Linked DNA regions of Pelodiscus sinensis. The protein of the gene in region 1 interacts with the protein of each later gene in a biochemical or structural test. Links are inferred from orthologs where the notes say so. Each region holds a gene or a part of one and is shown in the gene's direction. Other genes may lie near its edges. The genes, in order: IKBKG, RIPK1, CYLD and NFKBIA.

Evidence for each region.
Region 2: the proteins of IKBKG (region 1) and RIPK1 form a complex in vitro, tested with the Homo sapiens proteins (4 studies listed by BioGRID). The link is inferred for Pelodiscus sinensis from reciprocal best matches to the Homo sapiens genes IKBKG and RIPK1.
Region 3: the proteins of IKBKG (region 1) and CYLD form a complex in vitro, tested with the Homo sapiens proteins (3 studies listed by BioGRID, with this or other methods). The link is inferred for Pelodiscus sinensis from reciprocal best matches to the Homo sapiens genes IKBKG and CYLD.
Region 4: of the proteins of IKBKG (region 1) and NFKBIA, one has a biochemical effect on the other in vitro, tested with the Homo sapiens proteins (15 studies listed by BioGRID and IntAct). The link is inferred for Pelodiscus sinensis from reciprocal best matches to the Homo sapiens genes IKBKG and NFKBIA.

What each region holds. Positions count from the first base shown.
Region 1 is NW_027465910.1:86,346-94,201, reverse strand, and holds the start of IKBKG (NF-kappa-B essential modulator), read left to right. Parts: upstream 1-4,848; 5' UTR 4,849-4,979; intron 4,980-5,003; exon of another isoform or gene 5,004-5,195; intron 5,196-5,518; 5' UTR 5,519-5,528; coding exon 5,529-5,712; intron 5,713-7,856. Other genes in the region: G6PD (glucose-6-phosphate 1-dehydrogenase), read right to left, coding at 2,430-2,569, 4,300-4,414. UniProt on the Homo sapiens protein: Regulatory subunit of the IKK core complex which phosphorylates inhibitors of NF-kappa-B thus leading to the dissociation of the inhibitor/NF-kappa-B complex and ultimately the degradation of the inhibitor.
Region 2 is NC_134712.1:115,469,398-115,477,071, reverse strand, and holds the start of RIPK1 (receptor-interacting serine/threonine-protein kinase 1), read left to right. Parts: upstream 1-4,664; 5' UTR 4,665-4,795; intron 4,796-4,822; exon of another isoform or gene 4,823-5,391; intron 5,392-7,674. UniProt on the Homo sapiens protein: Serine-threonine kinase which is a key regulator of TNF-mediated apoptosis, necroptosis and inflammatory pathways.
Region 3 is NC_134722.1:31,411,952-31,419,211, forward strand, and holds the start of CYLD (ubiquitin carboxyl-terminal hydrolase CYLD), read left to right. Parts: upstream 1-4,241; 5' UTR 4,242-4,401; intron 4,402-4,685; exon of another isoform or gene 4,686-5,006; intron 5,007-7,260. UniProt on the Homo sapiens protein: Deubiquitinase that specifically cleaves 'Lys-63'- and linear 'Met-1'-linked polyubiquitin chains and is involved in NF-kappa-B activation and TNF-alpha-induced necroptosis.
Region 4 is NC_134714.1:48,030,376-48,037,242, forward strand, and holds the start of NFKBIA (NF-kappa-B inhibitor alpha), read left to right. Parts: upstream 1-3,848; 5' UTR 3,849-3,990; coding exon 3,991-4,247; intron 4,248-4,786; coding exon 4,787-4,895; intron 4,896-5,365; coding exon 5,366-5,576; intron 5,577-6,096; coding exon 6,097-6,185; intron 6,186-6,293; coding exon 6,294-6,554; intron 6,555-6,867. UniProt on the Homo sapiens protein: Inhibits the activity of dimeric NF-kappa-B/REL complexes by trapping REL (RELA/p65 and NFKB1/p50) dimers in the cytoplasm by masking their nuclear localization signals.

The sequences.
Region 1 (7,856 bases):
GATTTGCTGAGTCACAGAGGCTCAGCTCCCACAGCAAGGCGGGTCCTAGTGCAAGAAGCAGGCCAAGGGATACCCCAGGGATACCGCCACCCCCTCACAGCAAGGGCTCAAACCAGCGAGCTCAAACCAGCCCAGGGATACGACACACACTACAGGGATGTGCCAGCCCCACGCTGCATGGTAAGGGGGGGGAACTGCCCAACAAGCCCATACCAGCCTGGGGACACACCACACAGTCTGCTGCAGGCCAGGGAATGGCTGAGCAGGGAAAATGAGCCATGCCCACAGATACAGGGACATTTGTGTTTGCCACTCCCTGGCCCAAAGGGATACGCCATCTTCTCCTCAGCTCTTTGCCCTGCCTCCCACAGCCAGGTCCAGGCCACTGGCCTTCTGCCTAAGCCCAGGAAGCTCCTTATCTATCACAAACGCTGATAAGCGGCTTTCTCCTTCCTCCCTCCCTCTGCTGGGGGAGGGGGAGCAGGTGCCAGGCATCCAGCCTGTGCTGTCCCTGACAGGCCTGCAGAGAGACCGCAGCAGCTCCCATCACAGCTCACAGGGCCCAGTGCCTACCCAGGATTCTCTGCCTCAGCTCTGCCAACTTGAGGTGAACCCAAGTCACGTGGAGCTGGGACAACCCCTATATTTAAACAGGGAGCTGGCTTCTGGGGTCAGTCGCCCTGTGTGACCTGAGCCTAGCCACTGAATCGCTGTGCCTCAGTTTCCCCACTCTCCTGCTCTGTTGCAGGCAGGGTTGGGGGAGTGCCTGGGGTGTCTGGCCCTGCCAGGAGATGTGTGGGGGACTGCTAGGAGCAAGGAACACCAACTGCCTGGGGCTGTGCTCCAGAGAGCCGGGGACTCTAAGAAGGCTCTAGGGGACTTAGTGGCATCCTAGACCTGGGATGGGGCCAAAGAGGCTTGTGGGGTGTATCACCAGGGCAGCCAGGAGCAGAACAGGGAGGGAGCTGTGCCACCCAACCAAACATCATGAGAGATGGGGAATTGCACCCAACTTGGGTAGCTGCCTTTCATAAAGGCTGGGAGAAAAGTGGAAAGGATGGAGAGGAGAAAGGAGCCAGAAAAGTTACTCCCAGGCTGGAGGAAAATGCACAGAAAGCCTCAGAAGGCTGCATCAGACCAGCATGTCAAGGGGAGATGGGTTCCTGTGCTGTGGAGAAAGGTGGAGAGAGTGGGAACCAAAGCCCCAGAAATTGAGACCAGCAGTAATGCACCTGTGGGGCGTGCAGACAGCGGCAGCAACTCAAGCAAAATCAGGGCTTCTCCGCCTCTTGCTGCCTACTCTGCTGGCCGCCTGCCTGGGGAACCCGGGGCCAAGTGGGGGAGTCTTTGGCCTGAGACACAAGCACATTGAAGTAGATGTCTCAGGGTGGGTGAGCGAAGCTAGCAAAGGTGTGTTTGTGTGTATTACTCTCCTCAGCTACAGGGAGCTAGGGTGAGCAGGGGGCTTCCACATGCCACCCCCACCACAAGGACACTGCCCAGCCACCCCCAGCATGGGAGTGGCTCCAGCAGCCGTGGTCTCCTCTGACCACCCCCACGTTGCTTATCTTGTGGTTCCCCATGGGCACAGCTGCTCAGCAGTGCCCAGCACTTCCCTTTGTCCAAATGCAACAGATCCCACAACGGGAGGGACATGTTGCGACCCCTCAGAGCAGGCAGGCAACCGGAAGCAGGGTAGAAAAGGGTTATGCTGAAGTTCTGGGGAGGGAACTGAGGCAGTTTCTGTGAGTTTGAGGGGCACCGGGGTGGTTTCCAGGGCCTAAGGGATGACTATGGTGAGAGGCAGTTTGGGAGGCTTCTGGGGTGTCAGGGCAAATTCAGAGTAGTGGGTGGATTTGGGAGCAACAAGACGGTGTCAATCACACACCTCTGCTTGCTGAAATCTCACTACTGCTCACGGAATATAAACGAAGGGTTGGCCAAGCCAGGGCTTGACCTCACTCCATCCCATGGCAAGCACCAGCACCATCCCAGGCCTTGGGTGGCCCCATGACAGGGCACATAGCTCAACCCATCAGGGATTAGTGGCCCCCCGCCCCCACTGGAGGCAAGTGCTGCCCGCCCAGGTTACACAACACCAGGCAGGAAGTTAAGTCACTCTGCCCAGTCATGGTAGCTGGGATGGCTCGGCTGCAGCTCCCAGTGCTCAGTATCGCCCCTGGTACAACTCCTGCCTCGCCCTGGAGGCATGAGCCGCAGAGCCCACGGGAGGCAGGAGCTCAGGGGAATCTGGCAGCTGAGCAGAGCTGTGGGGAAGATTAGTTTAGCCATCCCCTCACCAAGTGCAGGGTCCTGCAGGGAACTCCCTGTTCCCCCACAGCATTGCCTGTCCACAAAGCAGGGTGCAAGAGGAACGGCCCAGCTCAGGCACCCCACATGGGGCATGGCCTGGCTGACTGGGGACTCACCGAGGCCCCGAGGATGATGAAGATGTGGGTGTCAGACCGCAAGAAGTCCTGGTCCTGGCACAGCTCTTCCCGCATCATCCCGCACACCTGTGAGCGACTCAGCTCCTGTGGAAAGGCCATGGTGCTGGCACGGCTGCTCCCTAGAGCAGAGAGACCATGTGAACCGCCTGCCTCAGAGGGCTGACCCAGGCTGGGCTCCCTCCCCAGCCCCAGGCAGCCAGGGACAAGTCTCTGCTTGGCCAACAGCAGGGCAGAGCCCCATGGTGGGGGAAGGGAAATGGGATTGTGGGGGAAGAGTGGCCCTGAGCGAGGATGGGGGAAAATGGGGCGGCAGCAGGTGGGGGTGAAGAGAAGCCCCGGGTGGGACCAGGGGGTTGGAGGTTTGTCACTTCTGGGTCCCATGAGGCCCTGAGCAGTCTGGCTTTTTCCCCCCAGGGGCCCCTCCCCCAGGACAGCCCCCCAATGCCCCCAGCACAGCCCCCCGGGGTCCCCCAACCGCCCAGCACAGCCCCCCAACACCATGCCCCCTACCCGAGCCCGGCCCCCCAACACCATGCCCCCTACCCGAGCCCGGCCCCCCAGTGCCCCCCGGCTCCCCGGCACAGCCCCCCAACACCATGCCCCCTACCCGAGCCCGGCCCCCCAGCTCAGCCCCCCAACACCATGTCCCCTACCCGAGCCCGGTCCCCCAGCTCAGCCCCCCAACACCGTGCCCCCTACCCGAGCCCGGCCCCCCAGTGCCCCCCGGCACAGCCCCCCAACACCGTGCCCCCTACCCGAGCCCGGCCCCCTAGTGCCCCCCGGCACAGCCCCCCAACACCATGCCCCCTACTCGAGCCCGGCCCCCCAGTGCCCCCCGGTTCAGACCCCCAGTGCCCCCCGGCTCAGACCCCCAACACCATGCCCCCTACCCGAGCACGGCCCCCCAGTTCCCCCCGGCACAGCCCCCCAACACCATGCCCCCTACCCGAGCCCGGCCCCCCAGTGCCCCCCGGCACAGCCCCCCAACACCGTGCCCCCTTCCCGAGCCCGGCCCCCCAGTTCCCCCCGGCACAGCCCCCCAACACCGTGCCCCCTACCCGAGCCCGGCCCCCCAGTGCCCCCCGGCACAGCCCCCCAACACCGTGCCCCCTACCCGAGCCCAGCCCCCCAGTGCCCCCCGGCACAGCCCCCCAACACCGTGCCCCCAACCCGAGCCCGGCCCCCCAGTGCCCCCCGGCTCAGCCCCCCAACACCGTGCCCCCTACCCGAGCCCAGCCCCCCAGTGCCCCCCGGCACAGCCCCCCAACACCGTGCCCCCAACCCGAGCCCGGCCCCCCAGTGCCCCCCGGCTCAGCCCCCCAACACCGTGCCCCCTACCCGAGCCCGGCCCCCCAGTGCCCCCCGGCTCAGCCCCCCAACACCGTGCCCCCTACCCGAGCCCGGCCCCCCAGTGCCCCCCGGCTCAGCCCCCCAACACCGTGCCCCCTACCCGAGCCCAGCCCCCCAGTGCCCCCCGGCTCAGCCCCCCAACACCGTGCCCCCTACCCGAGCCCGGCCCCCCAGTGCCCCCCGGCTCAGCCCCCCAACACCGTGCCCCCTACCCGAGCCCAGCCCCCCAGTGCCCCCCGGCACAGCCCCCCAACACCGTGCCCCCTACCCGAGCCCGGCCCCCCAGTACCCCCCGGCTCAGCCCCCCAACACCGTGCCCCCTACCCGAGGCCGGCCCCCCAGTGCCCCCCGGCTCAGCCCCCCAACACCATGCCCCCTACCCGAGCCCGGCCCCCCAGTGCCCCCCGGCTCAGCCCCCCAACACCATGCCCCCTACCCGAGCCCGGCCCCCCAGCTCAGCCCCCCAACACCATGCCCCCTACCCGAGCCCGGCCCTCACCGCTCCGCGCTCCCCCACCGCTCCCCACGTCTGGATCGCGCTCCGCCGGCGGCCCAACGCTCGCCCGGCTCCCCATCCCCGCCCCGCCCCTGCCAATCCCCGCCCGGCTCCCCATCCCCGCCCCGCCCCGCCCCTGCCAATCCCCGCCCGGCTCCCCATCCCCGCCCCGCCCCTGCCAATCCCCGCCCGGCTCCCCATCCCCGCCCCGCCCCTGCCAATCCCCGCCCGGCTCCCCATCCCCGCCCCGCCCCTGCCAATCCCCGCCCCTCCCCGCCCCTGCCAATCCCCGCCGGCTCCCCATCCCCGCCCCTCCCCGCCCCTGCCAATCCCCGCCGGCTCCCCATCCCCGCCCCTCCCCTGCCAATCCCCGCCGGCTCCCCATCCCCGCCCCTCCCCTGCCAATCCCCGCCGGCTCCCTATCCCCGCCCGGCTCCCCATCCCTGCCCAGGCCAATCCCCGCCCGGCTCCCTATCCCCGCCCCTGCCAATCCCCGCCCGGCTCCCCATCCCTGCCCAGGCCAATCCCCGCCATTCTAGGCTACGAACGTCTCTTCCGCTTCCGGGTCCCGGGGAAGCACTTCCGGGGGAGACAAGGCCGCGATCCCGGAAAAGGGAAGTGGCAGCCGGGGGCGACGAGTATCCGAACCGCGATCCAGGCGTCCGAGTTCTCCTGTCGCCGAGGTTGGGGATTTCCGGCCCCGCCCCCGCCCCCGCCCGCCAGGCGTAGGGCTCAGCCGGTGGGAGCACCGGCACCAGGATCAGCCAGGACAGCCCAGGCCAGGGCCCCGCCCCCTCCCAACCCCCGAACCCACGCAGCAGCCTGGTCCTAGCTCCTCCTCCGGCCTTTGCCCTGCTTTCCAGGCTAAAGGTGCCATGCCCTCCCCGTGCCGGCTCGGGGTACGAAGGATCACAGCCAGTGTGTACATGAGGGAGGTTGTCACCCTGAAATCCCCATCCAGGGATTGGTGCAGAGCCCAGGGAAACTGAGGCACACACACACAGGGTTACCACAGGATGGTAGAACTCACGTGCACTCTTACAAGGGGAATACAATCCTCTGCTTTGTCACTTTTCTGTTCCCTTCAAGACCAAACTGAGTAGGGTCACTTTAGCTGGTGAAGTTCAGATGCACCAGTTCGTGACAGGGCATCAGTCCCCCCCCTTCCCCAGCCCAGGGACCCTCCGTTTCCCAGGTCTCATAGTGCCATGTCTCTTCACAGGCTAGACTGGATGAACGGGACCCGGCAACGGCGGAGTTGTGAGATGGTGCAGCCAGGCGGGTGCCCAGGCAGTGACTGCAGTGCTCTTGGTGAGGACTCATCCCTTGGCAAGGTGGCGGCTTGGCAACTACCCCCTGAGCTGGCCGGGCATGAGGCCCTGCAGCGCTTCCTGCTGGAAAACCAGGATCTGAAAGGTGAGGATGAATGAGTACCCTGGACTGGTACAGCACTGAAAGGGGTGGCTGGGGCCCAGTTCCCTGCAACCTGGACCTGGGCTGCAGCATGTTGCTTGGCTGACCAAGCCATACTGCCCAGTCGTGGGTCCAGTGGGGCTCGGGCAGCCTCCCAGGAAGCACCTCCAGGCAGTCAGGAGGCTCCATATGCTGCGCCCACCCCAAGCGTCAACCCTGCAGCTCCTTTTGGCCAGGATCCTCAGTCAGTGGGGGCTGTGGGTGCAGCGCAAACCTCCTGCCAGCACCTCAGCATAGGAGCCACAGGAGGGACTTGCCACTGCTTCTGGGAGCTGCTTGTAAATCTTTACCCTGAGCCCCACTCCACCCCAGCCCTGATTCCCCTCCTGCTCTCTGAACCCCTGGGTCCCAGCCCCAGAGCCTGTGCTCTCTCCCACACCCCAACCCCCTGCATCAGCCTAGAGCCACCTCCCACATTCCAACCCTAAATGGCCCCTTCAAGGATTGAACTCACAACGGTGGGTTTAGCAGGCCAATGCTCAAACCACTGAGTTATCCGTCCCCCCTGTTCCCTGTGGAGGGGGAGTGCTGTGCTACAGCTGTTATCTGCACCCTGTGTGTTTGTGTGTATGGGGGTGGGTGTGCTGCAGTTGCTCCCTGTGTGTGTGTGTGTGTGTGTGTGTGTGTGTATAGGGAGGGGTGGGGTGCTACAGTTGCTCTCTGTGTTTGTATGGGGTGAGGCGCTGCTGTTGCTCCGTGTGTGTGTGTGTGTGTGTGTGTGTGTGTGGATGGGGAGAGGTGGGGTGCTACAGTTGCTCTCTGTGTTTGTATGGGGTGAGGCGCTGCTGTTGCTCCCTGTGTGCGCATTGGGGGGGGAGTGGGGCAGCTCCTCTGTGTGTGTATGGGGGGAGTGGGTGCTGGAGCTGTGCTGTGTGTAGGGAGGTGGGGCACTGTGGTTGCTCCCTGTGTGTGTATGAGGGTGGGTGCTGGAACTGCTTCCTGTGTTTTTATGGCGGGGAGTGGGCGCTGGAGCTAGTGTGTGTGTGTGTGTGTGTGTGTGTGTGTGTGTGGGTGGTGGGAAGTGGGCACTGGAACTGCTGTGTGTGTGGGGGGGGGAGCGGGGGCTGTGGCTGCTCCGTGTGTGTGGGGGGGGGAAGGAGCGGGGGCTGTGGCTGCTCCGTGTGTGTGGGGGGGGGGAGGAGCAGGGGCTGTGGCTGCTCCCTGTGTGTGTGTGTGTATGGGAAAGTAGGTGCTGCTCCCTGCTGGTCATGCTCGGGGGGGGGGGGGGGGCAGGGGGAGGCAGCTGACAGGTTCAGAGTCCGGTCTATGACCTAGCCTGCACCTCTTTCTTGGGAAGTTGCCTTTTGCCTGGGACTGGGCCCAAGCACCATTGCAGGGGAGGCCTCTGGCCTCCGAGGCTGGGCCTGCAGGTGCCAGTCACCACAGTCCCTCTTCATGGCTCCCTGCAGGGAATCCAGCCCAGCGAGACTCGTGTGGGAGGCTTGGCCCCTTGAGTGGGCGCTGTGGGCCAGGGTATTTGCAATGCCATCCAGGAGTCTTGTCAAAAAGACCCCATTTCGGGAAAGATATGGCGACATTGGAGATGGTGCAGAGCAGCAGCCGGGATCCAGCCTGTTGAGGGAAGGCTGACCCTGGGCTTGTTTACTTTGTAGAGGAGATAGAGGGGACATGACAGGCTGTTGCAAGGAGGAGGGGAGAATTGGCCTCTGCGTCTGGGACAAGAACCAATGTGCTTAAACTGCAGATCGGCAGGGTTAGGTTGGACATGAGGGAAAACGGTCAGAGTGGCACTGTAATCAATTGCCCAGAGACGTTGTGGAGCATGTCAGACAAATGCCTGCAAGGATGGTCTAGAACAGGGATGGGCAAATTTTAGGCTGCATCCTGCCCCTTTGACCTTTTCCTCTGGCTTTCAAGGGCTTGCCCTGCTGTGGGTCTCCACACACCTCCCCACCACAAGCTCCAGCTCCTATTGGCTGTGGGTCCTGTGCCCTGGGAGCTGTGGGGGCAGAGCTGGAGGAGGAATGGGCTGCTGCTTTCAGGAGCCGTTTCAGATTAGCCCTGCCCAGATCTTTCTCTGCCCCATACCAAACTTACTCCTTGCTCCCAGAGGGAGGCGGGGAGCA
Region 2 (7,674 bases), on another chromosome or scaffold:
CAAACTAGCTACAGGCATAAAGGGAAACAAGAAGACCTTTTATAAATACATTAGAAGCAAGAGGAAGACCAAGGACAGGGTAGGCCCACTGCTTAGTGAGGAGGGAGAAGCAGTAACAGGAAACTTGGAAATGGCGGAGATGCTCAATGACTTCTTTGTTTCGGTCTTCACCGAGAAGTCTGGAGGTGTGCCTAACATAGTGAATACAAGCAGAGAGAGGGTAAGTTTAGAAGATAGGATACACAAAGAACAAGTTAAAAATCACTTAGAAAAGTTAGATGCCTGCAAGTCACCAGGGCCTGATGAAATGCAACCTAGAATACTCAAAGAGCTGATAGAGGAGGTATCTGAGCCTTTAGCTATGATCTTTGAAAAATCATGGAAGACGGGGGAGATTCCAGAAGACTGGAAAAGGGCAAATATTGTGCCCATCTATAAAAAGGGGAATAAGAACAACCCAGGAAACTACAGACCGGTCAGTTTAATGTCTGTCCCAGGGAAGATAATGGAGCAGGTAATTAAGGAAATCATATGCAAACACTTGGAAGGTAATAAAGTGATAGGGAATAGCCAGCATGGGTTTGTGAAGAACAAGTCATGCCAAACTAATCTGATAGCTTTCTTTGATAGGATAACGAGCCTTGTGGATAAGGGAGAAGTGGTGGATGTCATATACCTAGACTTTAGTAAGGCATTTGATACGGTCTCGCATGATATTCTTATTGATAAACTAGGCAAATATAACTTAGATAGGGCCACGATAAGGTGGGTGCATAATTGGCTGGATAACCGTAGTCAGAGAGTTGTTGTTAACGGTGCTAAATTCTGCTGGAAAGTGATAACAAGTGGAGTTCCGCAAGGGTCTGTTTTGGGACCCGTACTGTTCAATATCTTCATCAATGATGTAGATATTGGGATAGAGAGTACGCTTATTAAGTTTGCATATGATACCAAACTGGGTGGGGTTGCAACTTCTTTGGAGGATAGGGACATAATTCAAAATGACCTTAGCAAGTTAGAGAAATGGTCAGAGGTAAACAGGATAGAGTTTAATAAAGAGAAATGCAAAGTGCTCCACTTAGGAAGGAACAATCAGTTCCATACATACAAGATGGGAAGCAACTGTCTAGGAAGGAGCATGGCGGAAAGGGATCTAGGGGTCATAGTGGACCACAAGTTGAATATGAGTCAACAGTGTGATGCTGCTGCAAAAAAAGCAAATATGATTCTAGGTTGTATCAACAGGTGTGTTGTAAGCAAAGCTCGTGAAGTCATTCTGCCGCTCTACTCTACACTAGTTAGGCCTCAGCTGGAGTACTGTGTCCAGTTCTGGGCGCCACATTTCAAGAAAGATGTGGAGAAATTGGAAAGGGTACAGAGAAGAGTGACAAGAATGATTAAAGGTCTAGAGAACATGACCTACGAAGCCAGGCTTCATGAACTGGGCTTGTTTAGTTTGGAAAAAAGAAGATTAAGGGGGACATGATAGCGGTTTTCAAATATCTAAAAGGGTGTCACAAGGAGGAAGGAGAAAATTTGTTCCTCTTGGTTTCTGAGAACAGGACAAGGAGTAATGGGCTTAAAGTGCAGCAAGGGAGGTTTAGATTGGACATTAGGAAAAAATTCCTAACTGTCAGGGTGGTCAAATATTGGAATAAATTGCCAAGGTAGGTGGTGGAATCTCCCTCTCTGGAGATATTTAAGAACAGGTTAGATAGACATCTGTCAGGGATGGTGTAGACAGAGCTTGGTCCTGCCTTGAAGGCGGGGAGCTGGACTCGATGACCTCTCGAGGTCCCTTCCAGTCCTATGATTCTATGATTCAGAACATCCTCTGGCAGAGATTTCCACAGGTTGACTGTTCACTGCATGAAGAAGAACTTCCTTTTGTTTGTTTTAAACCTGATACCTATTCATTTCATTTGGTGACCTCTAGTTCTTATATTATGGGAACAAGTAAATAATTTTTCCCTATTAACTTCTTCCGCATCAATCACGATTTTATACACCTCTATCATATCTCCCCTTAGTCTCCTCTTTTCTAAGCTGAAAAGTCCCAGTCTTTTTTAATCTCTCTTCATATAGTACCCACTCCAAACCTCTTTTTTCTTTTGTTGTCCTTTTCTGAACCTTTTTCAATGCCAATATATCTTTTTTGAGATGAGACGACCACATCTGTACACAGTATTCAAGATGTGGGCGTATCATGGATTTAAACAGAGGCAATAAAATCTTCTCGGTCTTCTTCTCTATTCCTTTTTAAACTATTCCTAACATTCTGTTTCCTTTCTTGACTGCCGCTGCATATTGAGTGGATGTTTTTAGAGAACTAGCCACAATGATTCCAAGATATCTCTTGAGTAGTGATAGCTAAATTAGTCCCCATCATATTGTATGTATAGTTGTGATTATTTTTTCCAATGTGCATTACTTTACACTTATCAACATTAAATTTAATTTGCCATTTTGTTACCCTATAACTTAGTTTGGGGAGATCTTTTTGAAGCTCTTCACAGTCTGCTCTGGTCTTAACTATTTTGAGCAGTTTAGTATTGTTTGCAAATTTTGCCACCACACTGTTTACCCCTTTCTCCAGATCATTTATAAATAGATTGAATGGGATTGGTCCCCATACAGACCCTTGGGGGAACATCACTAGTTACCTCTCTCCATTAGGAAAACTTACCATTTATTCCTACTCTTTGTTTCTTGTCTTTTAACCAGTTATCAATCCATGAGAGGACTGTCTCTCTTCTCCCATGACAACTAACTTTACAGGAAACCCCCGACTTCCAACTGCCTGAGTTACGGTCTCCCACACTTACAACCATTTTTGTAAGTGAGGAAGGGGTCGAAAACCCCCAACTTACGTCCTCGTCCCACATTTATGATGGCGCACGGTGCCTATCATAAATGAGGGTTCAAGTTACGATGCCCCTGACTTGCTACGCTTCTCCGGGAACCAAGCGCATTGCAAATCGGGGGCCACCTGTATTTAAGAACCTTTGGTGAGGGACCTTATCAAAAGCTTTCTGGAAATCTAAGTAAACTATAGTCATTGGATCCCCCTTGTCCACATTTCTGTTGACCCCCTCAGAGTACTCTAGTAGATTAGTAAGACATTATTTCTCTTTACAGAAACCATGTTGACATTTCCCCCAACAAATTATGTTCATCTATGTGTTTGACAATTTTATTCTTTACTATAGTTTCAATTTATTTGCACGGTATAGACATTAGAATTACCAATCTGTAATTGCCAGGATCACCTCTAGAGCCCTTTTTAAATACTGGTGTCACATTAGCTATAGTCCAGTCATTAGGTACGGAAGCTAATTTAAAGGTTAGGTTATGAACCACAGTTAATAATGGTAGACAGACTACTACTGCAGGTGTGAGGGGGGACAGGCTGCTGTGCTGCTTTGACGTTCCTTAGCTTGGAGAGCTCAAAAAGCTGCTCATGATGTTGTTCTTTGGCAGCTGAAGAGGCTGCGGGAGAACTTAGGGGGAATCCCAAAATGCACAGGAATCAGCTCTGCCTTCACACAACTGTGGGATATGTTTTGTACCCACACTGCACTGCTCATACTGTCAATGATGGTGCCCCCAGTGCAGACATGAGAGCAAGTGTGAACACCCTCTGGAGATTTTTGTTTTGTCTACCTTTGGCTATCGACATCAGTTTTGTTGACACAACTTGGTAGTGTAGACATACCCTTTAGAGTTCTGTCCATAGACATGCCCTGACATGCCTTGCTGAGGCATCAGGTGTATCTCCTGCCTTCTCTCAATGGGTCAGTTGAATAGCTGGTGTTCTTTGGTGGGAAATCAAGCAGGCTAAGCAGTGCATACCCACCTATGAGCATCCCCCAGCAGATTAGCACAAGTTTGTAATACAGACACACACATATCTATAACCCAAAAAACATAGGTGATACAAACATATAACTGAGATTATCAGCTTTGGTAGATTGTAACAATTTTGCAGATACTTTACATGGCATGGGTGGCATATTTGATTATCATTCTACAGCAGTATTTCCAAATGGTGCTCCACAGAACCCTGGGGTTCCGCGAAGTGAAAACAAGGGTTCCGCAAGACAATTCCATTACAATAACATTTTATGATTTTTTTTTAAAAAAATATATATTTAAGCATTTATGAATTTCATTTAAAACAATTTTCATTTGTGTTTGCCATGATAAGTGTCTCTGTATAATGCCAGCTTAGCCGGAGAGTGGGGACGATGATATCACTACTCAGCGCTGTGCTGCCAGTCAGTGGTGCACTCGCCTGTTATATACCACCGTAAATCCCCGTACTCACTCTCAGGGAGCATGGATCACGTGGGTGACTGAATACGAATATACTAGCGCTGCGTTGGACAAAATCGAAACTTCAGCTGTCAAACAAGTTGCTGTTATTAAGGGTTCCGCTAAATTCTTTGGCGTTTAAAAGGGTTCCGTGGCCAAATAAAATTGGGAAACACTGTTCTACAGATTTCATAATATCCTCCTGTCCCCCAAATTCCATACAGCGTCACACACTGACTTCAATGTGGCTACTCAGTTTGTAAACCAGGGCCAAACTTGTGAAGCTAGCTTTGAAGCTAAAAGTAGTACTGCTTTCCATGAGTTTGTACAGGAGCTAGTTTTTCATGACTCCTCCCACAGCAAGGTGGAGGCGGGCCCGAGAGAAGAACCAACCCAACTTTAGAGTTAGTAAAAGAACTGAAGCCAGACTATAGTGGCTGGAGCTTCCTGGGGCCGGGGCCGGAGCTTTGTGAAGTGACAGGTAAGGGCACTTCCATTCTTTGCGCCTTTAAGAAGAGACTAGCGATGTTTCCGCTTGTTTGCTTTAGTTTTCTTTTAAAAAAGTTCACAGGAGCTGCACGTAGGCCTGCCTGGAACTCGGGTCCTTTTATTTTTCCTTCGCGTTTGAATAGACACGCTGTGCAATATTTCATTATATTAAGATCAAGGCCTTTTGGGGACCTGACGTTGGAGAGAAGGGGGAACGTAGGACTCTTCGATTGTCGTTTTCCACTAAAACTTCCCTTATTATTGCCGGAGGGTGAGAGTTAGTTTCAGTTTCAGCACCATGTTGTAAAGGCCGGATTTTTTGCAATCTCTTAGCAAATTCTAATGGTGGAACGAGCCTTCCGTGTTTCCTCTTCCTGCTCCAGTTCCCGGTGCATTTCTGCCCCCCTAGCATACGGTAACTAGCTTTCCTAATGGTCACATAAACTTTCGCTCTTGCAAACACACAGCGGGCTCCTGTATGTGTCAGACACTGTTGTATCCTGAGCCCTTGATTCATGCGCTTTCTTTGGTGTGGTGTGCTGCGGGCTTTAACACACCGACCCAGCAACTCCCAGCTGAAGGACTAAGGTAGAACACCCCCCCCACACACACACACACACACACACACCCCGCCGCTCCCCTCCTGCGCGCTGTGTCTCACGCTTTAACACCGGACTTTCCCGGGCTGGATGCGATCCGTGGGAAGCGGGGTTGTAGGCGAGGACCCGGTCTCTTTAAGACAGTTACCTGGCCCGGGAAGGGCTCCGCCCTGGGCTGCTGTGCAGGGAAAGGCGTGTGCGCGTGGTGAGTCCCCATGTCCCGGGACAGGGCAGGGGCGTTCTGCGCTAGTGACGGTGCAATGCGATTTGGGAGTTGCCGGGGCGACGACAGAAAGTGCAACTCTGAAACTCTCCGTTGTTGCGATCGTTGCGGTTTCTGTCATGCATACATGAAATGCGGTGCTACTGCTCAGGACTTGCTACCTTTGCTACCTGTCCTTACAGCGGGCAGTGACGCGTGGATTTCCTCCATTGGGCTGCCTCCTCCTCTGCTTCCTTGCGGGACGATCCCTGTGGCTCCACAAGGCGGGAGAGGGGCTTTTATCTCCTCTCCTCCCACTGTCCCACCCGCAGCCCGAGGTGGGGAGCCCCCACTGCTGCTCATCCTCAGGGGTCGGGAGAGCAGGGGGGGGGGGATTTCCATACCCCGTTCCCATGCCCAAAGGGGGAGTAGTGAGAATTTTCACCTCCTGCCCTCCACTCTTGTGGTACTTGTTATGTGCACACCCACCTCAGTTTTGATAATAAAAAAAAAGAGGGGGCCCGCGTTCATCGAAATGGGTGCAAGGTGCTAATGATGTAGTGACATCCAAAGCCTAAAAAGATGGTTACTCTCCTGAAGGACAGGGGCAGAACGCAGTGACAGTGCTGTGGAGCCTCCCTCCTCCCCCTTTCATTGTTTAACCTATTAAATGGGATTTTACATCCCAACTTCATCCTAATAGAAAACTGACCATAGCACCAGTCAGAGTCTCTCTGAGGACTTTGTAGGTGTCATCTGAGGGCGTGGGGGGGGGGGAGGGGGGAGTTCAGTAGAGTTCAGACTGTGAGAGGGGGACAACTTCTGAATGGTAAAACAAGGAACAAGGCTAATGAGAAAATAATCTTAGTTACGCAACATTACTTCTTGTGGTAAGGGTGTGACAGGATGAAGGTTCAATGTGCCTGCTTAATGGGAGGAGGACAACAGCTGCTGAGGGGGACACTGCATACCAGGCTCGTACTTCCCCCCATAATTCCCTATTCCCTTTACTTATTCATCTTCTGCCCTTTGTTCCCACATTTCCCTCCCCCTGCCCTATTCTACCCCCTTCCTTACCCACTGCCTCTTCCCACCCTGTCTAATCCCGCCTTTTCTCATTTCTTCCACGCTTCCAAACCCAGCCCCTCCATGGGCACTCCCTGTTGCACAGAAACAGGAAAGCTCTTGACACAGAGAAGGGGAGCATGTGTGGTACTAGGACCCAAAATATGGTGTTTTGCTGCAGACACTCAGCAGAGGCCAGATGCTGTCTCCTTCAGCTGGGTCCTAGCTCCCCATTTGCAGAAATAGGGTGGCAGTGGCAGGTAACCCTTTGTGCCACCTCTGTTGGGGGAGGGGTGACCCCCCCATAAAAACTGCACCCATGGTCACATAATCATAGGACTGGAAGGGACCTCAAGAGGTCATCAAGTCAAGTCTCTTGAATTTATGGCATCTCCAAGCACCATCTGACAGGTGTTTATCTGACCTGCTCTTAAAAGTCTCCAATGATGGAGATTCCACACCCTCCCTAGGCAATTTATTCCAGTGCTTAATTGGGATGTAAAAATTAAAAAAAAATCAAACCCACTAATTGTGTAATCAATTGGCTGGGAGTTTAACTGGTTAAATTCTTACATCCCTAGGGTTTACATTTTTTCCTAGCGCCAGAAACTTTTCCCTAACATCTCGCCTAAATCTCCCTTCCTGCAATTCAAGCCCCTTGCTTCTTGTCCTATCATTAGAGGTTAAGAAGAATAATTTTTCTCCCTCTTCCTTGTAACTTTTAGGTACTGTACTTGAAAACGTATGTCTCCTCTCAGTCTTTTCCTGACTAAACAAACACATTTATTTCAATCTGCCCTCATAGGCCACGTTTTCTTGACTTTTAATACTTGTTGTTGCTCTTTGCACATTTTTCAATTTGTCTACATCTGTCCTAAGGATGTAATAATGTAGTCGATCAACCAATAAGCAAAAGTTTATAGGTTAATGCTATAGACTACACGCATTTCACCTCCCCCTCTTTGCCAGTAAATTTTTAGCAGGCTGGCTAGCAACTTGGCTCAG
Region 3 (7,260 bases), on another chromosome or scaffold:
AGCTGAATCAGGCTACATTCTGCCCTCAGCACCCCCATTCATTATGGGCCCCCCAGTCTCTTGGGCCTACTTGGGCTTCAGCCCTGTGGCTACCCCTGCAAGGCTGAAGCTGTGCCACCAATCCTCCTGCGGCCAGGTAGGCTTGCGGTGGGAACCATCTATGTTCCAAGGTCAGGGGAGCTGCTTGCCCTCTTGGGCTCAGAGGCCACCTGCCTGTCCTATGCTCTGGGGAAGGCTTGGGCCATGGGTTTTGTCCGCCCTCCCTCCCTGTGCTGATGGGAGAAGGCTGGGGCCACCTGCCTCCTGCTGGGGGAGTGGCTTGCAGGACTTCAGGTGGAAGAGATAGGACTGCGGGTTTGTCTCTCCATGATTTAAAGGAAAACAATTATTTAAATCACCAGTTAGTAACAGTCTAGTATGTATAAAAGTATGAATCGTGCATTTTTAGCAGTTGCTAAATCTGGATTTTAATACATGCATGTATATGTTAATCTTATTTTATAATACTACTTTGCACTTTCCTAAGAATCTGACTCATTTTTAAACTGGGTATTAAAGATTAGAGGCAACTGAATGTTCACATGTTCAGTGTTCACACAAAGATATATGTAAGTAACTTTATCACAAAGTCTTCACTACTGAGTATTCCCTGATGCATTATTTAAATTAATTATCCTATGAGTTCTGAGTGACTGCCAACGCTATAGTAGGGGAAAAGTTAAATTGCATATTTGTATTAAATAGGTTTATAATAGCCTTATTGTAATGACTGAATGACCGGCACTGATTTCTAAAGGAAACATTAATGGTTAATTGAAAACATGCACTTAGCTAGTCTTAACATGGAGAAATTTTGACTGGAAAACCTTTTGGTATAAAGCTCTGAAAATTCTGCACAAGAATTTTCTTTTGAAAAGTACTGTATGTCTTTGAAGTAGCAAATGTGCTAACTGATGCAGGAGTTCTTGTAATTTACTTACCAGCAGAAAATATTGCCAGTATCATATGGACTTATTTAGTTAATATACACGTTCCACATAATGTATTGACCACACATATGCTGTGTAATTAAAGAGTTATCGTGCCAAAATACTTTGTCAGGGCCCAATGCAAAGCACACCAAATTCAATGGAGGTGTCTTTCCAATGATTTCATTGATCTTTGGTTAAGGCCTTTAAATCGCAATTTATGCTGACTGCAGGTAATCCAACATATAATATTGATTCAACTTTTCACAAAGATAATGAATGATTTAACAATACATCTGTAGTTTTTTCCTACTACTTACAACTGATGTAGCAACAGACATTTTCTGCTTTGCAATATATTGCCTAGTTAATTAAGGAAGGAAATTTAGTTAAACTGTTTTTCTATCAACATGTATTAAGTGAACATTTTTCATCAAAATGTGTACTAGCCCCTATTTGAATAAATGCAGTCTCTCTACTCTGTGAATATGCAAATGAGGCAAATGAATGTTTGATGCACCAGCATGCATGCGTATCAGGAAATACGTTTAGATTTGCATGTACCCTTTCTTTTATGTGGAACTGGATGCTTTCACATAGGAAGGTGTGTGGTAATCAAACTGGGTATTTGCACATCTAACAGTGAGTGCTTGTCTGCATATGGGGGTATATCTGCACTGCACAGAAGTGTATGACATGTCTAAGGTGTGGGACGACAGGCTTTGGGCATGTTGAGTAAACGCAGATCTGAGGGAGACTGAATATGGGCTATTCCATATCTAATGGATCATATATGGACAGATATGTCAGATCATGATACATCAAAAGGGAGTGTATGTACTTGTATAGCACAGGTCACTGCAGGTTACCTGTACTGCTATGTCTCACTGCATGTCTAAGGGAGTGGCAATGGTAAATATTAGGGATGTAAGCGACTAGTCGAGTAGTTGACTATCCTTATCGGGTAGTCGAGTGACTGCTTGCTTTCCCCCACTCCTTGCTGCATCTGTATTAGATGCAGCAAGGGGCGGGGAAACAGGAGCCGGTGGTGGGGGAAGACAGCTTGAAAGCTGGCTGCCCCTCAGCACCATCTACATGGTGCATGGGAGCCAGGGGTAGCAGAGCAACTATTCAGTCCCAGCTCCCACCACCCAGAGAACTAACCCTGCTGCAGCTCTGCACTTTGCTGGGCTCTTACTACATTTAAAATGCAGAGCTGCAGCATCCTAGAGGGCAGTGTGAGCTGGGACTGTTCAGTCCAGGCTTGCACCGCCCACAGGAGCTACCTTGGGGTAACTCACCATAGGGTTAGCTCCTGGGAGTGGTGACTCTGCACTGCACAGAAGTAGGCTCTTACTACCATTAAAGTTCAGAGCTGGAGTGGGACCACTCCCCCTGTTATCGGCTATGGGTACGTCTAGACTGCATGCCTCCTGTGACAGAGGCATGTAGTCTAGACATACCCTAATTGAGTAGTTGATGGAAATTCCATAGGCTACTTGATTAGTCAAGTATCAGAGGGGTAGCCATGTTAGTCTGAATCTGCAAAAGCGGCGAGGATTCCTGTGGGACCTTATAGACTAACTGAAGTGTTGGAGCATAAGCTTTCATGGTCAAAGACCCACTTTGTCAGATGCACGTACTGCATGCATCTGACGAAGTGGGTCTTTGCCCACGAAAGCTTATGCTCCAACACTTGCTAGTCCAGTGGTCCCCAACCTTTAGAGGCTGCCAGGTGCCAGGGGGCGTGGCCGTTCGCCTGCCGGGTGCCAGAGGGAGGGGAAACATGCATGCCGGCCCCCCCATAGCTGCGTGCTCCCGGGGCTGGCGCTCCTCCTAAGCGCCGTGCGCCACAGGCCGGCACCCCCTCCAAATGCTGCACGCCCGGGGCCGGCGCCCCCCCCTGCAAGCGCTGCGCGCCCGGGGCCGGCGCCCCTCCCCTGCAAGCGCCGCGCGCCCGGCGCCCCCCCCCCCGCAAGCGCCGCATGCCCGAGGTGCGAGCAGCCAATTCGCGGCGCTCCCGGGGTTGGCGCTTACCATGCGCCCGGGCCAGCTCCGGCACTGTGCATGCACCATGTGCCCGGGGCCAGGCCAGCCCTGAGCACTTGGTGGGCGCACACAAATGGCACCGTGTTGGGGACCATGGAGTTAGTCTATAAGGTGCCACAGGACTCCTCTCCGCTTTTGATTAGTCAATTAACTAATATTTAACATCTCTAATAAATATGGAGCAATTTTATCACAGATCTTGCAATATTTCATATTTCTCTTTAATCCTCAGGTTCCTGTGATTTAGTAAAAATCTCTGCTTTCATTAAGTAAGTGCAGAAACTAGAAATTAAAAAAGCTTCAAAATATGTTGCATTTAAAAAAAATTCGAGATCAAAACAGCCTCCCTCTCCCTTACCCCACCTTCCGCACTAAATTTGATTTGTCAGTTTAATAACATGTTCACTTTTTTCATTGTAGTCCTTTGGTATATATATGGCTATGCCAGTTCTCTTCCAGAATATGATCTGAGGAAGTGGGTCTGGCCCACAAAAACTCATCATCTATTAAACCATCTTTTTAGTTTTTGAAGTGCTACGTAGTTTTTCCTTTTGTTTTAGCAAGATCAGACTAACAGGGCTACCTCTCTATGACTATGAGACAGTTAAAGTGCTTAGTCTGTGTAATAATTTACAATGAACCAATGTCCCCAGCTGCAGCACTAGCAAAATGGCTTGGATGTAATTATGTAATTAACGGTGAGTTTCCATTAGCGACTGGTGGCCTGACTCTGTATGGCCCTTCTTATGCGCTCCAGCCACTGCTGACTCTGCTCCCTTAGCCGGCTCCTGACCGCCGCCTTCGCTCCCCGCTGCTGTCAGCCGGTTACTGAAGGATCCAGCCAATCAAGTTGCCTTACCCCACACCTGGTTAAATTCTACCAATCGCTAGACTCGGATGATTTCACCAATCAAACCCAAGCATTCCTCCGCTCCTCCTCTCTCCCCTCCCACCTCGTCTCGGTAGCCAATCTTCATCGCGGGCCTAAAGGGCTTGGCCAATCAATCCTAGCTGATCGATTCCTCCCTCACGTCTGTCCCCGCCTTCATCTGCGGCTCTGGCAAGCCTGATGGAGTGGAAATCCCCTCGTAGCGGCAGGGTTGCTGAACATGTGTGTGTTTGCCCAATAGGAGGGAGAGTGGCCGGCTCGGGGCCTTGTGGTTGGTTCCGGCAGAAGGCTGAGGGCGGTGCTATGGGTCTAGCAGGGTAGGTTTTACGGGCCGGGCCGGCTCTGAGGGGGTGGGTTACGCGGGTTGCCTCGCTCTTGAGGAGTCCCGTGAGGGTGTCAGGTGGCTGGGAAAGTCCCCGCGCCAGCGGCTCCGGGGCTGTCGGGAGGGGCGGCCTGGGCGGTAGCAGCGAGGTGGCTCGCGGGGCGGAGGATGAGGTGAGTGATGGGCCCGGAGCGGTCGCTCTGCGCTTCGGGGCTGCCTCCCGCTGCCCTCTCCCCCCGCCCCCCTCCTCTGAGGCGGCAGCAGCGGCAGGGTGGGGGGTGGCTGCTGACACCTAACGGTGCCGCTATGGGCGGCGGCAGCGGCCTTTTTCCAGGCTCAGGCTCGGGAGCTGCTTTGCCGGCGGGTTATAAACGCTCCCCCCCCCCCCCGGCCGGTGGGAGCGCAGCCGGCGAGCCTGTCCCGGGCGAGCTTGTCCGACCGCCTGGTCCTTGTAACAAGGGGGGGGGGGGGGGGCAGCGTTAGCTTGCCCGCGGCTCCACGCGAACTTGTGGCGGAGCCGGACCCGCTTTCCTTGCGCTGTCTCCCTGCTCCCCACGTTGCTTCGCTTGCAAATCCCTTTAAATCTCTGCACGTGCGGCGGTAAAAGCCCCCCCTCCCCGCCCGTGGGACAGCGCTCGGAGGGCTGCCGGTAGATGAGGGCAGGGTACGTGCCGAGCGCTGTCGGTGTCCCCGTTTCCCTCCCGGGTGTGTAAGGCAGCCCCTCTGTGCTTAGACTGCGCTGGCCCAAAGGCTTAGACACTGGCTACAGAGCAGCAAGGTGAGATTTGGCTTCTTTTCGTTATGATTATTTTAAATAAACCCAACGGCTGCATCTGGACTGGCAAGTTTTTCTGGAAAAGCGGCCGCTTTTGTGCAAAACCTTGCCAGCTGTCTACACTGGCCGCTTGATTTTGCGCAAAAGCACTGACCTTCTACTGTTTGAAATCAGTGCTTCTTGCGCAAATGCTTTGACATTCCTGGGCAAAAGCCCTTTTCTGGAAATGTTTTTGTGCAAGAGGGCCAGTGTAGACAGCTAAAAACTGTTTTGCGCAAAAACGCCCCGATGGTGATCGGGGCTTTCTTGTGCAAAACCGCGTCTAGATTGGCATGGACGCTTTTCCGCAAAAAGTGCTTTTGCGGAAAAGTGTCCGTGCCAATCTAGACGCTCTTTTCCGCAAATGCTTTTAACGGGAAAAACTTTTCCGTTAAAAGCATTTGCGGAAAATCATGCCAACCAACATGTATCTTGGAGGTAGGCTATCTCCGTTAGGCCCTGATCCTACAGTTGGCTCTGGTAACTCCTGCAGAACGTTATTTGAAGTCAGTTGGGTAAGAGGCTCACACTCTCAGATCTGTTTGTAGGATTAGGATTTAGCACTATAATGATCTGTGCTTTTTCTCAGTTGCCCACTGAAATAAGTGCTGTGTAGAAGGGCACTGATTTTGGTCAGTTCGGCTCACAGGTTTACTGTAATGATCCTGGCCACCATTCCTCTATTATATATACAAAATTGAGAGAGTCTGTCTGAGTGGGTTCAAGTCATCCTAAATGTAAAAGCTAGGACCAGCAAATATGGTATGCAGATGCTGCTTCTTATCATAATTTCAAAGCAAGGTAAGGGTTTGGTTGTGCCAGAACAATGGGATTTGCCTGAAATACTATGGGTTCTCATAAAACACAAAGGGACAAGTCTGCTATAGGCTCAGTTATGCTGCGGAATGACCACAGGAGGGCAGGTCCACTGATAAGAGAGTGGCTGGCCGAGGGCAGGATTCTTGATGTTGCTGGCCACGATAGACAGATAAGGTTCCTGTGCTGGTGAGCTGGCCAACCTCCTGCACCCTTGCTTCCCCTTTCCTGAGTCCCTTCTTATCTTCCAACTCTGACTCCTGCACCTCCATACCCCCTGCCTCTAGTACCCCCAACTCTGAGTCCTGAACCCTCGGCCCCCTGTCCTGAGCCCCTCCTTAATGACCCAAGCAACACTGGGTAAATGTGCTAGTGCTATCTAGTTAAAAGTTTAAACAGTATTTTCATGTGTACAAATGTTTAAGAAAAAAGGGTAGGTTAATCGAAAATGAAAATCGGTGTTTAAAAAAAGTAAGCATTTAAAAGAGGAAATGTTTAAGTATATTTTATGCTACTCAGGAAACAAACTTTAACAAGAATAAAGAAATATATTAAGTCATAATCAAGAACATTAAAACTGTTTTCGTCTTTTATTTCAAAACATGAACTCTGTGCACAGCCCTGCTGAATTGGAGATAAATGCCACACTGATACACAAATGTCATCCCCAAATCAAGTCCATGTACCTAATATATCAAACAACTATAGTGTAGTGTTTTCTCTTTTAAACACATTTTTATCTAAACATTCTTTTTGAAAACTGAAAAATATGTATTTCATATTTTACAGTATTAAAGTTAAGTAGCAAAATCCAAACAGTAAAAATAAATTTTAAAATGTATAATTTATTGGTCTGTTTTTAAGATTTCTCTTAGCAATGCTAAGCATTCTTTTAAAAGGCATATTTTTATTTCATTCAGCATTGCAAATGTGCAGCTATTGACTTCTTTGGACGCTACTTTGTCTAATCAACGGATATAGCTTCTTGCGCTTAAACGTATTTTTCAGGCTGTTTGACTGTCATGGTGGTTCTGTACATGGAGTTATTAAAAACATGGTATTTGAAGTGAGGAATCTACAAGAGACAATCTGAATCAGGTTCATCCAGTTTTCCCCACTTGTTCTGTAGTTTGAGACAGGGCAATAATTTGAGTATGTTCATGGTGATAGGAGATACAAATCACATTTCTTAGCCCAAGTAATGCTAAAGCAGAAACAAAATTCTCAAATTTCAGAACAAATTTTTTATTCAAGTGAGATGATTCTCTGTAACAGTATATGTGAGTGACTCCAGGGAAGAAAGGGGTGGGGAGATATAGGAAAACTTCTAACTGGACCGGTTCGTGGGTGAAACTGCACATTTGAGCCACAATAAGTCCCACTTACAAAGTTTCAGTCACTT
Region 4 (6,867 bases), on another chromosome or scaffold:
TGCGCCACTTGCTCCCCCGCAGCAGCCCAGCTAAGCGGCGCAGAAGTCAACCAAGTGCCATGGTGGGAGGTGAAGGGGGAGCGGGGCAGGGACGTGCAGTGTGACAGCGGTTCCAGGCCCTGCCCTCTGGCCGTGAACGTCACCACCCCACCCCCTTTCGCCTCCCGCTGTGGTGCTCAGCTGACTTCTGCACTGCTCAGCCAGGCCACCGCATGGGAGCAAGCAGCGCAAGCGACTGTTTGGGCTCCGCACACCCCATGCAGCATGGGGAGCAAGTAGCCCAAACGGCCATTTGGGCTTTGCGGTCCACCGAGTGAGAGGCGGGAGGGGGAGAAGAAGTGAAAGAGAGAGACAGAGAGAGAGGCAGGAGGAGGGGAGAGAGACAGAGAGAGAGGGAGACTGGAGGCTCAGGAGAGAAGATCGACGTGGAGGAGAGACCTGAAAATCCCGTCTTATGACGGGCTAATTGGCTAGTTATAAATATAGGTCCAACTGTATGTCGCTATCTGCCTGTGTCTTTTTTCATTTACTTTCACTGTAAATTCTTTGGGGCTGGGACTATCTTTATGTTCTATGTTTGTACACACCTAGCACAATGAGATCTGAGTCTGTGATGAAATGCTACAATAATAAATGAATAAATAATAATCATTGCAATTTCTTTCAGTATAAACAAATCTAACTTCAATAAATGTACAATATTGTGTGGACTCAGTCATACAATTCCCACTGAAGTCAAGGGGGAATCTTTTCACTGACTGTGCTGAGGGCTGGAATGGACCTATATGAACAGGCTATAAAATAATTTTCCAGTGTCTAGTTGTTTTAAAATTTTGCTATTCTTGAGGGTTGATTTTCTCCTTAAAAATGCTTTTTTTATAACCTTAGCTCCTAATGACTTTTGTCTGGGAGTTTTATCAAGACTGACCTGGCATCTGTGTCAGGATATAATATAAAAAGTGTGTAGGATATAAATGTTTACATATACATTTAATTTTTAATCATAAACTAGTAGCAAAATGTAACTGATGTTTCAACCATCTTGTCTGGTCCATATATCCTGTAGATGTACAAGTTAGAGCACTTCCTGCTCCTCAAGAAATAAGTTTCCCATATTTCAACTACCTGGGTAGCTTCCCATATAACTGCAAGACCATGGTGGATCCCTATCACTATATAATGTACTGCATATTCCTCTCTCCTCTGCCATAACAAACCTTATCTAGGTCTGAGCAATAATATGCCATAAAGGCCCAGTAGAGGTCACTGTAAACATACCCACCTTCACTTGGCAGACACTAGTCTTGAGGATTACTATCAAAACTAGAGGCAGTTTGGGTAACAGCAGTCAAACCACTGAGACAAATGAATCAAGTTATCAGAGAAGCTACTCTGTTTTGGGGAGATCAAAGCATCTGACTTCATATGATTTGTCTTTATGATTAAGTAATGTGATGCTGTGCTCCTAAGGTACTATAGTCTACAAAACCTAAACTGCTGCTTGCTGAAGAGTATGTTTTTCAGGGAATGAAATGGCCGTGAAAGCTTGGCACTTGCATTCCCATTGGTTAAGAAGTGGGTTGGCCCTGGTGTGACCTTCCATCCTTTTGCTGCAGTGCTACCCACATTTTTTTAACTTTGACTACACTAACAGAAACGTATAGCGAGTAAATCTAAACGCTGGTGCATTGTAAAAAGTCTTTCTGTTGGGAGAGTAATTTTTAAAAGTAACTCAGGTTATGTCCACACAGCAGCATTATTTTGGAATAACTGATGTTTTTCTGAAATAACACAGTGCACGTCTACACTACTAGCCTTTATTTCAAAATAATGTCGAGCTGGAGGACTTCTTACTCTGACTCATGGTAACCCTCATTTCATGAGAAGTAAGGGAAGTCAAAGGAAGAATGTTCCTCCTTTGATTTCCTGAGGTGTAGACAGCACCTCGAGTCAAGTTATGCTATTTCGACTTAAGCTATGCAATTGATGTAGCTGAAGTTGAATAGCTTGATTTGACTTTAGCTCTGCTGTGTAGACGTATCCTCAGTGTTTACTGCTGACAACTGCAAGCATTGAATGCATGGAAGGCATTGGAGAGCCCACCGATTTAAAGTTTAATTTCAATTTGGCCCCAATAAAGCATTTGTTGCAGAATTCTTATGATATTTTATTCCTCTGATTGCCACAGTATCAAGGGCAAGAACTGTATCCACCAATCAATCAAACAATAAATAAAATCTTTACTGTTCGTACAGCATAGGCTTCCAGTTAATGAGAAAGGTATGGATTAGTTAAATTACACTTCACTTAGAAAGAAAATGTTTTAACCAAAAAGGGGAAAATGCATGAAAATTTCATGACCCTGAAATTTTCAAAAAAATAATTGTGGAGCTTTTATGAATTCTTTCAAAGGGCACAACTGTGTTTTTCCAAGCAATGATTCCTATTTCTTTTTATAAGAAAGTCCAGAAATATTGCAGCTGGCCTGAAAAAAATTGGACCATCTGCCCTCTTTCTCCTTTGCCTCTGTCTTTGGATTTTCTCATAACTTTTTTTCTCTCAATGGCTACATTGCCAGAAGAGGAAGACAAGAAAATTTCTCAGACATTATTACTCAGTGTGGTTGCAGGAAAAAAATTCTTCATGGGAAATCCCCCAATGTCTGAGAAGAAAAAGTAAAATTCAGCAGGAATCCCAGTCCCCAGGTTAGCGTGCAGAATCCACAGGATGGCCTAGATGTATTTTTAATCAATCTAGGTGCTTTCAATATTTCACTTGATCTTTATCAGTGAATGTCATCATACCCAATAGGAATTATCAGAGAGGGATATCTAGATAATGGGTAACAATAAACAGCATGCCATTGGCAAAAAGAGAAACTTTTTCTGGTGAGAAGAAAAAATGTTAACTTAAATATGTAAATTTTGGGAAGGGGGAAAAAAGTGAATTAATCTTTGATAGGTACTGTCTCAGTTGGAGTGGGAAGGGAAACCTGCTGTATGTGCTTGATCCTACACAGGAGAAGTTAATGGGAGATTTACCATTGACTTCAATGGAAGCAGGAGAAAGCCCTATGCAGAGCAAGCTTTACTCTTAAAAGTAGTCGTTTTATGAGGCTACATTTATGGAAATTGGGGCTTCTGAATAGTTAAAAGGTTGTTAGTTCCAAACTCATCTGAGGTTTAAGATGTATTTAGTGTGGCTGCTATTGACTACCAATGCTAGTTCTTACATTTAAATAGTGCCTTGCACCACAGGGTATTACAAAATTAGCAAACTGACAGATGGGGGGCTGGTGTGAAATACAGCACAGCGGGACACTGTGGGAATACAGCATCCAGCTGCAACCCCAGGGGCTTTTAGAGAAGCAGCACAGGAGCTGTGATGTGGCCAAGACAACCCTGGTCTTTGCACAAAAAAGTGGCATCTTCATGACTCCAAGTGGTAGTAGGGGGGACACTGCTTGTGTGCCTCTCAGGCAGGCAGTGGCAGGAGTGACGGCATTGGCATCTCCCCTGTGGTGCCGTTTTAGCCTTGGAGAACCTGTGAGTACAGAGTCCCAGGGAGACCAGGGGAAGGGAAACCCCAGGATGGGAAAAAGCCAACTCCAGGGGCACGGCAGGGAAGTACCTGGGGAAGGGGGTTAGTCACAGAGCTGTACCAAGTACTTTCCCTCTTGTGAAAAAGGGGGTGGGGGAAAGCGAAGAGGGGCGGGTCAGTCATGGGGATTCCTTCGCTGCGAGTCTCGCCTGGGCTTTTATGTAACGCCTCCCGCAGCCAGGCGCAGGCTAGTTCTTGCTGTTTGACTGGCCTGGAAATTCCCAGCCAGCGGCTCCTCCCCCTCGCAGAAATCCCCTCAGCAGAGGGCGTATATCCAGCGCCACCGCGCGCCGCCGCTCTCACTCTGACGCCCGGAGCCGCTTGGTGAAAGATCCACAGGGGGGGACCTATTGCTGCGCCTGCCCGTCCTGTGCTAGCGGCGGCCCAGCCATGTTGCACCCCAGCTGCATTGCGGATGGCCAGCGGGAGCTGGCGATGGAGAGCCGCGAGCCACTGAAGAAGGAGCGGCAGCTCGGCTTGCTGCAGGACGACCGGCACGACAGCGGGCTGGACTCCATGAAGGAGGAGGAGTACGCGCTGCTGGTGAAGGAGCTGCGGGACATCCGGCTCCAGCCCCAGGAGGAGCGGGGGGCGCCGCACGCGCCGGCCCAGCCTTGGCAACAGCAAGTGACCGAAGAGGGAGACACGTAAGTGTGTGTCCTGCGCCGGCTGCACGGAGACCCCCGCGCGGGGCGCTGCGAGACCCGGGGGCCGCGGGCGGGCGCATTTGAAACGACGATTGCTTTTAGATAAGCGATAGTGGGTTCTACTCAGAACCTAGCTGAGCCCTGCTGGGGGGCGGGGGGGCGCTGCGGGCAGCGCCAGGCGCCGTAGGGCTGCGGAGTCCAGCGCTGGCCGCCCGCCAGCCGTGCCGGGAGGGGATGTACAGAGTGTGCTGGCGGGGCGGGGCGGGGCCGGCGCGGCGCCCGGCTGGGCGGAGGGGGAAGGTGCGGTGGAAAGTCCCTGGCGCGCCGCCAGGAACACAGCTCATAACAACCCCGCGGAAAACACCAGGCCGCGGCCTCTGAAAACCCCAGGCTTGCGAAAGCCGCCTGCAGCCTGTGCACGTGACTGCCGGGGCATTGCCCGGGGCTGGCCTGCTGATCCCGTGAGCTCACGTCCTCCCCTGGCTCATCGTTCCCGGACCGACTTTGAGGGGTTGTTTCTTTTTTCCCCCCTCTTGCAGATTTCTCCACTTGGCAATTATTCACGAAGAAAAGGCCTTGAGCGTGGAAGTCATTCGGCAGGCAGCTGGTGATCCTGCCTTCCTGAACTTTCAGAATAACCTGAACCAGGTATTTTAAGCCATCTGCCTTCTTGCTTAAACGAGCCAGGTTGCCTGACGCCCTTGGTGATTTCAGTAACTGTGTCATGCAAAATTGTACATTCGGTTGATATTTAATCAGCTGAGCCCCTCTCCCTCCAAGACACAAGATTGCCATTGTCCACAGATAAACTTCTGTTTGTGTACAATCAACATTTGAAACGACACTGGCATTTGAAACGATGGATTGCTTTTAGATAAGCTGTAGTGGGTTCTACTCATCCATTATTTCCATGAAAAATACACCCTTAATTTGTACTGGCCCTCTGCGGTCAAGGGAGCTTTAAATCAGTCACTTCCAAATTAAAAGAGAACTGAAGAAGTCGAGCTAGAGCTGCTAGAATCACCAAGTGGTTGAAGGGTTATATACTCAGTTGCTGTCTCTAACATTTCCTGTTTGTCATGTACCTTATACTAGTTTGTTTTCTTTTTTTATTATAGACACCACTTCACCTGGCAGTAATCACAGAGCAGGCTGAAATTGCTGAGTCTCTTCTCAAGGCCGGTTGTGATCCAGAAATCAGAGATTTCCGAGGAAACACACCACTTCATATTGCCTGTGACCAGGGGTCTCTCAGAGCTGTCAGCGTCCTTACTCAATACTGCCAGCAGCACCACCTATGTTCAGTCCTGCAGTCAGCTAACTACAATGGTATGCATGAAATTCTTAGCAGCTAGTGTTTTTGTGACATGAATTTCAGAGTTTTATGAAGATGGGAGGCTGAGGCCTAGCTGTAAAATGATTTCCCTGAAATCACACTGCAGTCAGTGCTGGAGCTCGGAATAAGTCTCAGCTCCCTTGACTGCAAGTGCTTAACTCTGGTTTTCACACTCTTCAACTTTACACTTTGATTTTTAGATAACACTGTTTAGATATTTTTTTAAAATTGTAGACATTTTACATGTTTCTGTTTCTACTTTGTTAAAACAAGTTCCGGTGTACCACTGGGTGGAAAAAAGGCACTGCGTTTAAAAAATAACGGTGCCTTAGACACAGTACAACGATGATTAGAGAAATTTAAAAGTTCATGTAGAACATTTTACATTCAGTTTAGATAATGGTGATTGTATTTCAAACTCAAAATATGATAGTGTGTTAGGGGTGTTAGAAAGTGACTAATAATGCATTAAAGTAGAAGTACTTAATTTGTACCTATGTTCTTGTTTTACAGGACACACGTGTCTCCATTTGGCATCTATTCAAGGGTATCTGGCTATAGTAGAATATTTGCTGTCCTTGGGAGCAGATGTCAATGCTCAGGTGTGTATTTGAAGCTCTTTGTTTATCCAAACATGATAATGCTGGAATAGGAATATCCAGTTTTTGTAGTGCCAAGCCTAACTATCCTGTTTTATTTTTACTTACCAGGAGCCTTGTAATGGCAGAACTGCCCTGCACTTAGCTGTAGATCTGCAGAATTCAGAACTGGTGTCACTTCTAGTAAAACATGGGGCTGATGTGAACAAAGTGACCTACCAGGGCTATTCTCCATACCAGCTGACATGGGGAAGAGAGAGCTGCAGGATACAGGAACAGCTAAAGCACTTAACCATGGCTGACCTACAAATGCTACCAGAAAGTGAGGATGAGGAGAGCTGTGAATCAGAATCAGAATTCATGGAGGATGAAGTAAGTAATTATTTTCACCCTTTTATAAGGAAGGACTAAATTTTGCCCTTATAAGCATCTATATGCTCCTATTAAAATTGTCAGAGAAATGTGCCCATAATTCTTAGGTGTTATTTCCTGATGTTTTGATGGCATATTGGATGGCCTGTTGACTGTATTAGATATATTTCATCTACACACTCAAAATAAACTAAAAATATAAATTAGTAAGCATTAGGAGTGCAATATAAGGTCTAAGCATTGGACACCTAAAGCCAGAGGTGAAAGTAAGCTGGTGTACCCCAGTGTACCACTTGCGCAAGGAGGAGCCAGC